3 linked regions of the Oryzias latipes genome follow. The protein of the gene in region 2 purifies or fractionates together with the protein of the main gene of each other region. This does not show direct contact. Links are inferred from orthologs where the notes say so. Each region holds a gene or a part of one and is shown on either strand. Other genes may lie near its edges.

Region 1 (3,240 bases), on a different chromosome or scaffold from region 2:
GAGTCCACGTTCAAAGGGATGTTCCTCTTTTCACGAGTCCTAAACTGTCAGGTATCATTTACTTCATTAAAAGTAAAGATGACACGAGGAAGCGAGAGGCAACAGTTTGACTCTTTTCTCACAGCTTCTCTGTTCGGTGTGTGCCTCAGAGCAGGTTGATCTTCAGATGCTGTCTACAGTTTTCAGGTATGAAGCAGAGAGTCCACAATAATTCTATCTGCAGTGACTTCAGATCAAGCAACTCCCCCGCCGTGGTTTGCCACCAAACTTCCACATCACTCTCTTTTCTTCTTTTTGAACCATTCCAGGGGTCTGCTCAGACACAGCAATCCGGGCCCGTTTTGGTGACGCCTACGTGTTTGCTACCTGAATATTTCTGCATTTCAGCGTCTGTGAGCTGAATGCTGCCAGCAGCAGTGAAACAGCATGTTGGGTCACGCCTGCTGTGGTGGATTTCTCTTCCTGTTTTTGGAGCAGATGTGGGCGATAAACATCAATAACACAAGCACTGGAAAGAGAGAGGCAGTTCACCAGAATCAGAACACTGTGAGTCTGTGAGGACGTTCAAAACTCAATCCAAACCACCTGATAATCATTTATTTCATTTCAAGCAACACCTCTCTTCTTCCCGGGTTAGGAGGTACACAGGCACCACAGGCTCATACATGCTGTAACAAAGACATGACGCAATGCATTCTGGGCCGCTGGCTGCTTTGGCAGTAGTGTGGCGGGGTGGGAGCGGACACTAAGTCTTTCGTAGGCTGACGTCGGTGCTGCTCAGCAGCGGCGACAGCGACGTGTTCTCCGACGGCTCCTCCCTCTTCAGGATGAGGAAGGCCTCACGGCTGATCCCCAGCAGCTCTCGGAGGCCACAGTTCTCCATCTGGAACGCACAAACACAACCCACCTCTAAAGTCTCTGAACGGCTACGGCAGACAGAGAGGAGCAAGATTCACACATATGCTTTAAAAAACGTGTTCAATATCAACAGTTTGTCCGATCATGTATAAGCAATCAAATTAAGCCTCCCACAGTGAATTAGGCTCGACATCAACAATTCATTGTCTTTTCCCAAAGCTGACAGTGTTGGGTTCACTTTTAGAACCACTTTTTTATGTTCTATGTCAACGACACGGTCAAAATGTCTCAACAGCTAACTTGCACTTTTATGCTGATGACACGATTATTTCTTGTTGCGGATCATCTCTCTTTTGAGGTCATAAAAATTAGGGATGGGCGATATAATTTTTTTTACGTCCGATACCGATAACCCGTATTTCCCCTACAACTGTGTGGCTGATAGCCGATATTTGCCGATACCGATACTTAAGTGTCCACAGGTGTGGCTCTCAAACTGTGGAGCGCACCTCCATGGGGGGGGTGCGAGTCACTGGGTGGGACAAGGCTGGGAAGTGGGGAGGACGACTAATGTTTGGACATCGGAATTTTTTTCGCAGCGGAACACAAACAAACCGCGGTTCGGGACTGCATATCCGCGGGTGTCACGTCACTTACATCGAGCTGATCCTAACCGTGACATTTGAAGACGTAATTATGGTTGTCAACTGCGGTTTAACATCTTAAAATAACGCTAATGCCGCCTGGACGTTGACGCATTTAGCACATGCGACCGGTACAGATTGGAAACTGTGATTTGTTGAAGAATGGAGAAAAGCATGTATAATGGCTAATGCCTCCGCGCCCCCCAAGGGAGGCGTGTCCTACAGTTTGAGAACATACAAAATCAATGATCCTTTATTTAATTTATTAAGGATCATTCACTTGTACACGTCTTCCCTGCGAGGATTCTTTCTCAAATGTTTCTTAGACAACAGTTCTCAATACGACTGGCTGATAGATCCAGCTGCTGATGCGAGCTCTGCTGAGGAGGATCAGTCCATTGAAATCCCGTCAGACTCCACCCTGAAGATGAGGTTTACAGCACAGACACCCCCTGAATCCTGCTGGGTGTAGAGAGAGGGAGCATTCACTCAAAGGGCAAAAGGCTGGGGGCATTCTGCTTCCATTTTACGTTCCATTTTCTGCTGTTACCACTTTGAAAACAAAGCACAGAGCTAGGCTCAATAATGAGCAGGACTTGAGAGTTGCTGCAGTAACAAACCTGCAACCTTGTTTTGAAAAGATGTGTAGCACGAAGCAGGCACATTGCAGCCATTTACACAACTTTGTGTTTCTTTTTGCACATAGGTTCAAATGTTATTAAAAAACAGTCAGGAGATCATGGTAGATTTTGAATATCTGAAATGCAAATTATGCAAATATTGTGCAATACAGATACAGGAACCAATTTATCGCCCATCCCTAACAGGAACCCTGATGGAAACTTTTGAACGTGCAACTCCTGCGGCCTGGAAAATCTGACAAAAAAGTTGGAGACTAATTGAACTACCATTAAATGTCTTTAAGGCCAAACCAACAGAGAATTGCACAGATTACTGTGACCGTCTTGATCACAGTTTTCACTCATTTATAATTCAGTTTTATCTGTCATTTTTTACATTTTTTAAGCATTTTTTCTAGTGGTGTCAAATTATTATGTTAATTGCGATTAATAAATTACAAACTTTCTTGCCTTTTTTATTTGTCTCTATTTTTATCGGGTTAATCTTTTTTTTTTTTTTTTTTTTTTTTTTGCGTTGGATGGTTACTTCCTTAAAGTCTGGCCATGCCTGAAAATGTACACCTTGAAGAGCATTGTCCCGCTTATACCATGCTCACTCACAAAAACATAAAGATTAAGTATCAGAACTTCAATCATGTCATATTTTAAAGTTTAAATTGTTTTTAACGAAAAGAGGAACAAAGCATCATTTCAGAGGGAAAGCTCACCTCTAAATGTTGGATTTTGTTCAGATGAAGCTAAACTTTAAAGGTTGTCTTCTCTCTTTGTCTTCAAAATGATCAAATTCCTCAAACAGGTCAAAGGAAACTATCAAATCCCACCAGGGCTCCAGACTGCGACCAAAATTTGAGAGTGTGCGACTGAATTTTACATCCAGTCGCACATGTGCTACCAGTAAATTTGCCTCCCCCACCCTCCGTATTTTTTTATACATTAAACGTGGAAGGGGCACGTCAATGATCAATGAAATAATCAATGATACGCGAGCGCACACGCACGCAGGCAGACACACACACTCGTGCACATATTCATGAAACGCAAGCACACACTCGCGTGATGCCTGTCTGTGAGGCGGCGAATGCGTGTTAGAAGAATAG
Region 2 (3,760 bases):
AACAAATGTTTCAAAACTCTTATGTACACAAAAATATTGTGTCAAGAAAACAACCGAGTCACTTCCAGAGAAACCAAATCCTCCTGGATCTTCTCTTTATGATAGGTTTCTGAAAGATATGGGAGTCACTCTTTAAAGATTGTTTACATGGTTGTTGAGTTGAGTGAGGTCATGTGACACCTACATGAATCAGACACTGGAAAGGAGGTTCGGTGAGCAGCTCAGCCTAAATGTATGGCGATGACAAACCAGACAGAGTTCCTGTGAGTCATCGGGAGCTTCTCAACACCCCTGACCAAAACAGCACATGTGGGCTGCAGTTATTCAACCACGTCACCTCATTAAAACGCCACTGTCGTTGTGTCAGTACAGCTATTTAAGACCGACGACGTCACACTGTCAGAGTTTTGCTCTGAATTCATGTCCAGAGGAGCAAAACGTGGCTCTGGAAGCTGGAAGATACAATACAATTGATTTTTTTTTTACATTTATTTTTGGCTTTTTGAGGTTGCTGTGTAAACATCTAGTGCCATCTAGTGGCAACATTGCAGAAGAACAAAAAGACTTAAAACATGAGGAGGAAAAATTTAATAAAATCTAAAAAATGAAAGAATTCGACAGTTTCTAATAAAAAAAGAATGATTTAAAAACACATTTATTATGTAAAATATTGTGTACATCAATAACAGCGCAGACATAATGCCATAACAGGAAAAAAAAGCATATTTTGGTTAAAACTAACTCCTTTTTCCTCGTTATTATAAACCCACCAGTGTCTCCTTCTGCTTCGTGAGTTAAATTTTAAGGGAATTTAAATATCAAATCTCCAAAAGGGAGATCCATGCAGTTTGATGTGAGAGCCTGACGTTGGTTCAGGGTCACCTACTTCTATAAATATCTGATTGGACCATCCTTTGGGTTGTGACATCACAGACCAGGATCAGAGCAGAATCCTCCGGCCTCTTCATCATCCTCATCCTGGAGACTCACAATACGTTCAATGGCTCTGAGGAGTAACCTTATTGTTCAATGGTGATGAAATGATATCACTACCAACACTCTCATTTTGTTTTTAGCCTTTATTAAAGCGTCCCCCCCCCCCCCCCCCCGACAGAAACATCTCCACAGCTGAGATGATGCCAGATATTCCTTCTAAAAACCCAAAAGGGTCTGCTTCTGTCACACAAACTGAGATGTAGAAGCAGCAGATCTGCTGCTGGACACGGCAAAGCCAACACACACCTGGAGCTCCATGAAGAACATGGAGCAGCTCCAGATCCCGCTTCTCTCATCGGGAAGTCATGTTTGTTTACAGGCTGTTTCCAAGGAGAAATCCACAGACTTCAAATGGAAAATGTACAGGAATTCATGTAAATAAATAAAAAAACTGACAGCAAATAAAGACCTAGAATGCAGGAGATCTTCCAGAGGGAGGTGTGACCTGAAAGATGCTTCGCAGCCAACCAGAGAACCAGAAAAAGCCACTTTTCTATGTATAGGTTGATTAAAAAAAACCTCCAGAATCACGGATTTGAATCGGTAAGGTCATTCGTTTAGGGTCGTCTGACTGTCACGAACAACATCTGACCAACATCTGGTCCAAATGTCAAAACAGCACGATTAACGTATCCACGGCGGCTGCAGGCTCCCGATATCTCAGTTGAGCCACGGGCTCCAAAGCTAACGGCCAACGCACTCAGACTCCCGGCTGGATAACAGACCTCCACGCCGGTTACTCGTCCCCCTTGACATGTCAGTGGGGCTCCGGTCGCTACCTTAAATTCACGTTAATACGTATACCGATAAAAGGTTATTTGAGATCCCCGGTGACTGTGGAAAAAAAGAAGCTAACCATGCTAATGCTAAGCAGCTAACCCATAGCGACGGACTAACCTGGAGTTCGGCCCGCTCCACCTCCCAGTGCGCCCTCTCCATTTCGAACCGGGCCCACTCGTGCTGGATGTAGTGTAGAATTCCCGGGATAGTGTACTGCTGCTGTGGCCGGGCTAACTCGTCCGTCTGCTGGGGCACCATGACCGTTCCGATGGGAGGTCCGGAGTTGCTCCCGTGCTGCTGCAGCGGCGGCGGCCGCGGGGAGGCCGCTCCTCCCCCGCCTGGGTGTTCGTCCATATTTCGGGTTTTGTTAGAACGTGCGGCGCCGTTTGTACTTAATGATTAGCTAACCGATTTTAAATATTAAAGAAGGAAAAAAAAAGGCGCCGAAGGCCTCGCGCGTCTCCGCCGGGGTACTTGTCGCGCTGGCACCGCCGCCGTGGAAGAGGCCGGCTGCCCCTGAGCGCTTAGCGGAGAGCGGCGACTTGGAGGCGGTGTTTACGTGTGAGTCTCACCGGCCGCCATCACTGCTGTCCGCCTGGATGTGACGGCTGCGAGGGGGAATCCTGCCGCGCTGCATGCCGGGAAATCCAGACACACATTTAGACCCCAAACCTAAAAATAAAATTACGGAGCCCGTGTCCTGACATTAAGATATAAAAATATATCTTGTTCCCACAGATTAATATCTTGTTCCCACAGGTTATTATGTCGTTCGCACGAAATACTATTCCGTTCCCACAAGATACTTTTCCGTTCCCACAAGATACTATTGCGTTCCCTCAAAATACTATTCCGTTCCCTCGAAATGATTAACTTGTGCGAACGCAATAATTATGTCGTTCGAACGCAATAATTAATCCGTTCGAACGCAATAATTATTCACGTCATAAGTCATTCACGCGGATATGCTCTCTGTACGCCGGCAAAAGCCGCTTTCAGCGGTAACTTCCGTGTCTCTGTGACCCATATTCGTTCAAAAAAGGAACATGAAAAACAAAAATGATCACTTTATTACCGTCTCAATGAATATAAGAAAAATATCAAAAGATTTATGATAACTAGGCTGCTTTGTCAAACGATAGCTCCTGCTAGGCTAGCTCCGCCGCAGAGCTCTCTGTCTGATCATGTATGCCGGCATTTGGGCAACTGGCTGGTCTGTTGTCAGACAGCTGATATTGTAGTTTAGGGTCGAATAGGAATAATAATATTCAGGACTTGTCTTTTATTAACTTTAGCAGTCAGTATTTTTACATTCGAAGGCTATTAGGCTACATGCTAACTGACTAGCCGATCATTTCCTGTTATTAATTTACGTCATAGATTTACAGCAGATACCTTCACATTTCTGTCTGTGTGTGTCTCATTACATTGCATTGAAGACACGGAGGATGTTTAGAGAACAGATTTATTTATTTTATTTATAAAAGCACAGAAGCATCCATCGTTTTCACGTTCACATCTGGTACGCCCTCAGTCATCTTGCTGCAAAAGCCGCTTCCTGCCGCTACTTCCGTGTCTCTGTGAGCATTCAATAGGGGTAAAAATAAAAGCAAGAATGGTCGATCTGTTATTTTCTCGATGAAAATCTGAAAAATATCATATTAAGCTGGATGCTTCGCCTAAAGCACTTACCTTTAGCTTGTAGCATAACAACAATAGCAGTACGTCCCGTTTCCCAGAGTGCTTTGCTGCAAATCACTGGCCAATCATTGGTCTTGTTGTTAGACCTTGGTCACAGGGACACGGTGATTGGCTAGTGATTGGCAGCAAAGCACTCTGGGAAACGGGACGTACTGCTATTGTTGTTATGCTACAAGCTAAAGGTAAGTGCTTTAGGCGAAGCATCCAGCTTAATATGATATTTTTCAGATTTTCATCGAGAAAATAACAGATCGACCATTCTTGCTTTTATTTTTACCCCTAT
Region 3 (2,452 bases), on a different chromosome or scaffold from region 2:
ACGATGTCCTCACAGATCTGCTGGATGTAATCTTCTTCCATTTGCAGGATTCTGGAGAAGTCCTCCTCCTTGCTGATCTCGATGTCGGTCTAGAGGCAAACAGGCGGGTCAAACGCTGCACCACGGCGCCGTTGAGGACACGAGCTCCAGTGCACTGTACCTGACTCTCTCCTTTCTTGTACTCCAGAGAACAGTCCAGCAGCACAATCCTGGGGTTTTTGATCATCCGTCTCATTTTGGGGTGAGTGACGTCCTTGTTGATCATCACGCCTTTCAGCACACAGGAGTCCTCGATGAACCCGCCCGGAACCTGCAGGATCACAGAGGAAGCCGTTTGTAACTCACCGCATTTAAAGTCGCACCTGTTTGATATGAAGTTATTCAAGGGTAGTACCTTTTCTACTTTGGCGTAGTTCTTGATGTCGATTTCTTTGCGCCCATTCTCCTCCAGCTCCACCGTGCGGACGGCGTCCAGGGCGATGGTGCAGGCCAGGTCGGACCAGCGGAATAGAGCCTTGGTGTTGATGGCAGAGTTGACGATCTTCAGCATCATGGAGCGATCTGATGTGTCCACAGGAGTGCTGCAGAAAGTTCAACTCTTTAAGACACGCCTTTAGATTTACTCCTGAGCCGTGATATTCATTAAAAAGATTATTTCAACGGGATACATTTCTCCACTACACCTGCAACCAAAAATAAAAAAATGGTTCTGTCTTGAAAGAAATTGATGTGAATAAGGGATTCAATTTATAAAAAAAAATAAATAAAAAAAAAGTCAAAAACACTCCAGACTATGGATGCTATTACTAAACCCTTTAAGACTGGAGTTGTTGCCATTGACAGAATATGATACACCCTTTCTGAACTAATTGAACCAATTAATGCAATTCCAACAGGTTCTGAGAAAAGCAGCTTTGCACTGATATTACAGTAGTTTCATGAGCCGCATTGAGTTTTGCGGCAGTGACTTTAGAGAATCATGGGAAAAGAAAAGAAAAAACGATCGTTTTTAGCTGTTTACTGGTGTTTTGTTAGAACTTGTGAATAAAGTCATTCGTATTGTGAAAACCATTGTGTTGAACCAGGACGATGACTAGAGGAGATGGAAGGTGGGTTTTCATCCTACATGCAGTAGGTAAAACGTTTTTGTACCAAAGGTGATTTTGATTAGATTTACCATCATAATGTTAGTTTTTTATTTATTCATTTTATTTGTTTTATATATGTTCATAGAAATACAAGAATTTTTTTTTAAAGCAAAAATGCTCATGTTCCTTCTGTTTTACATAAATCAAACAGATTTGTCACTGGCTGCGTTTCCATTGACTGTGAAATCAATACAGCAGATGTTTTGGGAGCTACCGCTAGCTTAAGCACCTCCTAAAGAGAAATACTAGAACGCACTCGGCAGAGCATATTTGGTAGAAGCAGCCTTGAAACTGTTTTGCTGCGAGTGGCTTGACGCATGTTCTCCCCGTGCGTGCATGTGGGGGTTTTCTCCGGCTTCCTCCCAAAAACATTCTTCGTAGGTTAATTGGTGACTTTAAATTGTACCTAGGTGTGAATGTGAGTCTGTGTGGGTGTTTGATTTGTGGCACCGCGACAGACAGGTGACCTGTCTATAACGTCCCCTGCCTTCACCCACGAGTGGCCAGGATAGGCTCCAGCAGCCCCGTGACCCCGAAAGGGGCAAAAACGGGTTTAGAAGATGAATGAATGATTGGTTTGATGCACCAAGTTTAAAGTCACAAACCCAGAGAACAAAATCTAAGTTTTGACTAACCAGCCAAGTTGGCTGATAAATGAAAAAAAAAAAAGTTCTACCAACCAAATTATTCCATATTTTAGAAAGAAAAACTATAGGTGTTATATTAAAAAATGATTTTATGGAAAGACAACATAATTAAAACATCAGATAAAAACAAATGTTTTCCTGAGGAACTTCCGTTTTGATTTTTTTTAATCAATCTTTGCTTCTGCTTTTGCCGTTTTCACGCCGTCTATGAAATGTTGAGTTGTGTCTGTTTTCCTGCTGAAAATCGCCCCCCTGAGAAGAGGGCTTTCAGTCTTCAGTCTTCACCTGTGGTGAACCAACTGTACGGTCAAATAAAAAAACCTGCTGAGAAAACGAGGACAGATTTACTGAAGGGGAGCAGATCGACAAAAAAAAAAAAAATCCTAATTCTGCCTCCAGTTGATTCATTTTGACATGGAATCATAAAAAAAACAGACTGAAAAGATGATCATGTTTTGGATTCTTGCCATGGGCAGTAAAGACGCGGCGCTCTCACGAGGGGAGGCGGGGCTTTTTCCAGCTCAACTCCGCCTCTGTAACGTTACAAAGACACTAATAATAAAGTTCCATAAAAACTGGCTTCAGTCTGTCATTATATTTATAAAATATATATATTTTAAATGTTCCACAAGTTAATTTTGTTGGATTTATCCGCCA

The links.
Region 1: the proteins of strn3 (region 2) and fgfr1op2 purify together in Homo sapiens (affinity purification with mass spectrometry; 5 studies listed by BioGRID and IntAct, with this or other methods). This does not show direct contact. The link is inferred for Oryzias latipes from reciprocal best matches to the Homo sapiens genes STRN3 and FGFR1OP2.
Region 3: the proteins of strn3 (region 2) and cct3 purify together in Homo sapiens (affinity purification with mass spectrometry; 3 studies listed by BioGRID and IntAct, with this or other methods). This does not show direct contact. The link is inferred for Oryzias latipes from reciprocal best matches to the Homo sapiens genes STRN3 and CCT3.

What each region holds. Positions count from the first base shown.
Region 1 is NC_019881.2:3,917,770-3,921,009, reverse strand, and holds the end of fgfr1op2 (FGFR1 oncogene partner 2), read right to left. Parts: intron 884-3,240; coding exon 746-883; 3' UTR 577-745; downstream 1-576. UniProt on the Homo sapiens protein: May be involved in wound healing pathway.
Region 2 is NC_019880.2:2,602,946-2,606,705, forward strand, and holds the start of strn3 (striatin-3), read right to left. Parts: upstream 2,392-3,760; 5' UTR 2,131-2,391; coding exon 1,894-2,130; intron 1-1,893. UniProt on the Homo sapiens protein: Calmodulin-binding scaffolding protein which is the center of the striatin-interacting phosphatase and kinase (STRIPAK) complexes.
Region 3 is NC_019869.2:4,734,884-4,737,335, reverse strand, and holds part of cct3 (T-complex protein 1 subunit gamma), read right to left. Parts: intron 582-2,452; coding exon 395-581; intron 311-394; coding exon 161-310; intron 90-160; coding exon 1-89. UniProt on the Homo sapiens protein: Component of the chaperonin-containing T-complex (TRiC), a molecular chaperone complex that assists the folding of actin, tubulin and other proteins upon ATP hydrolysis.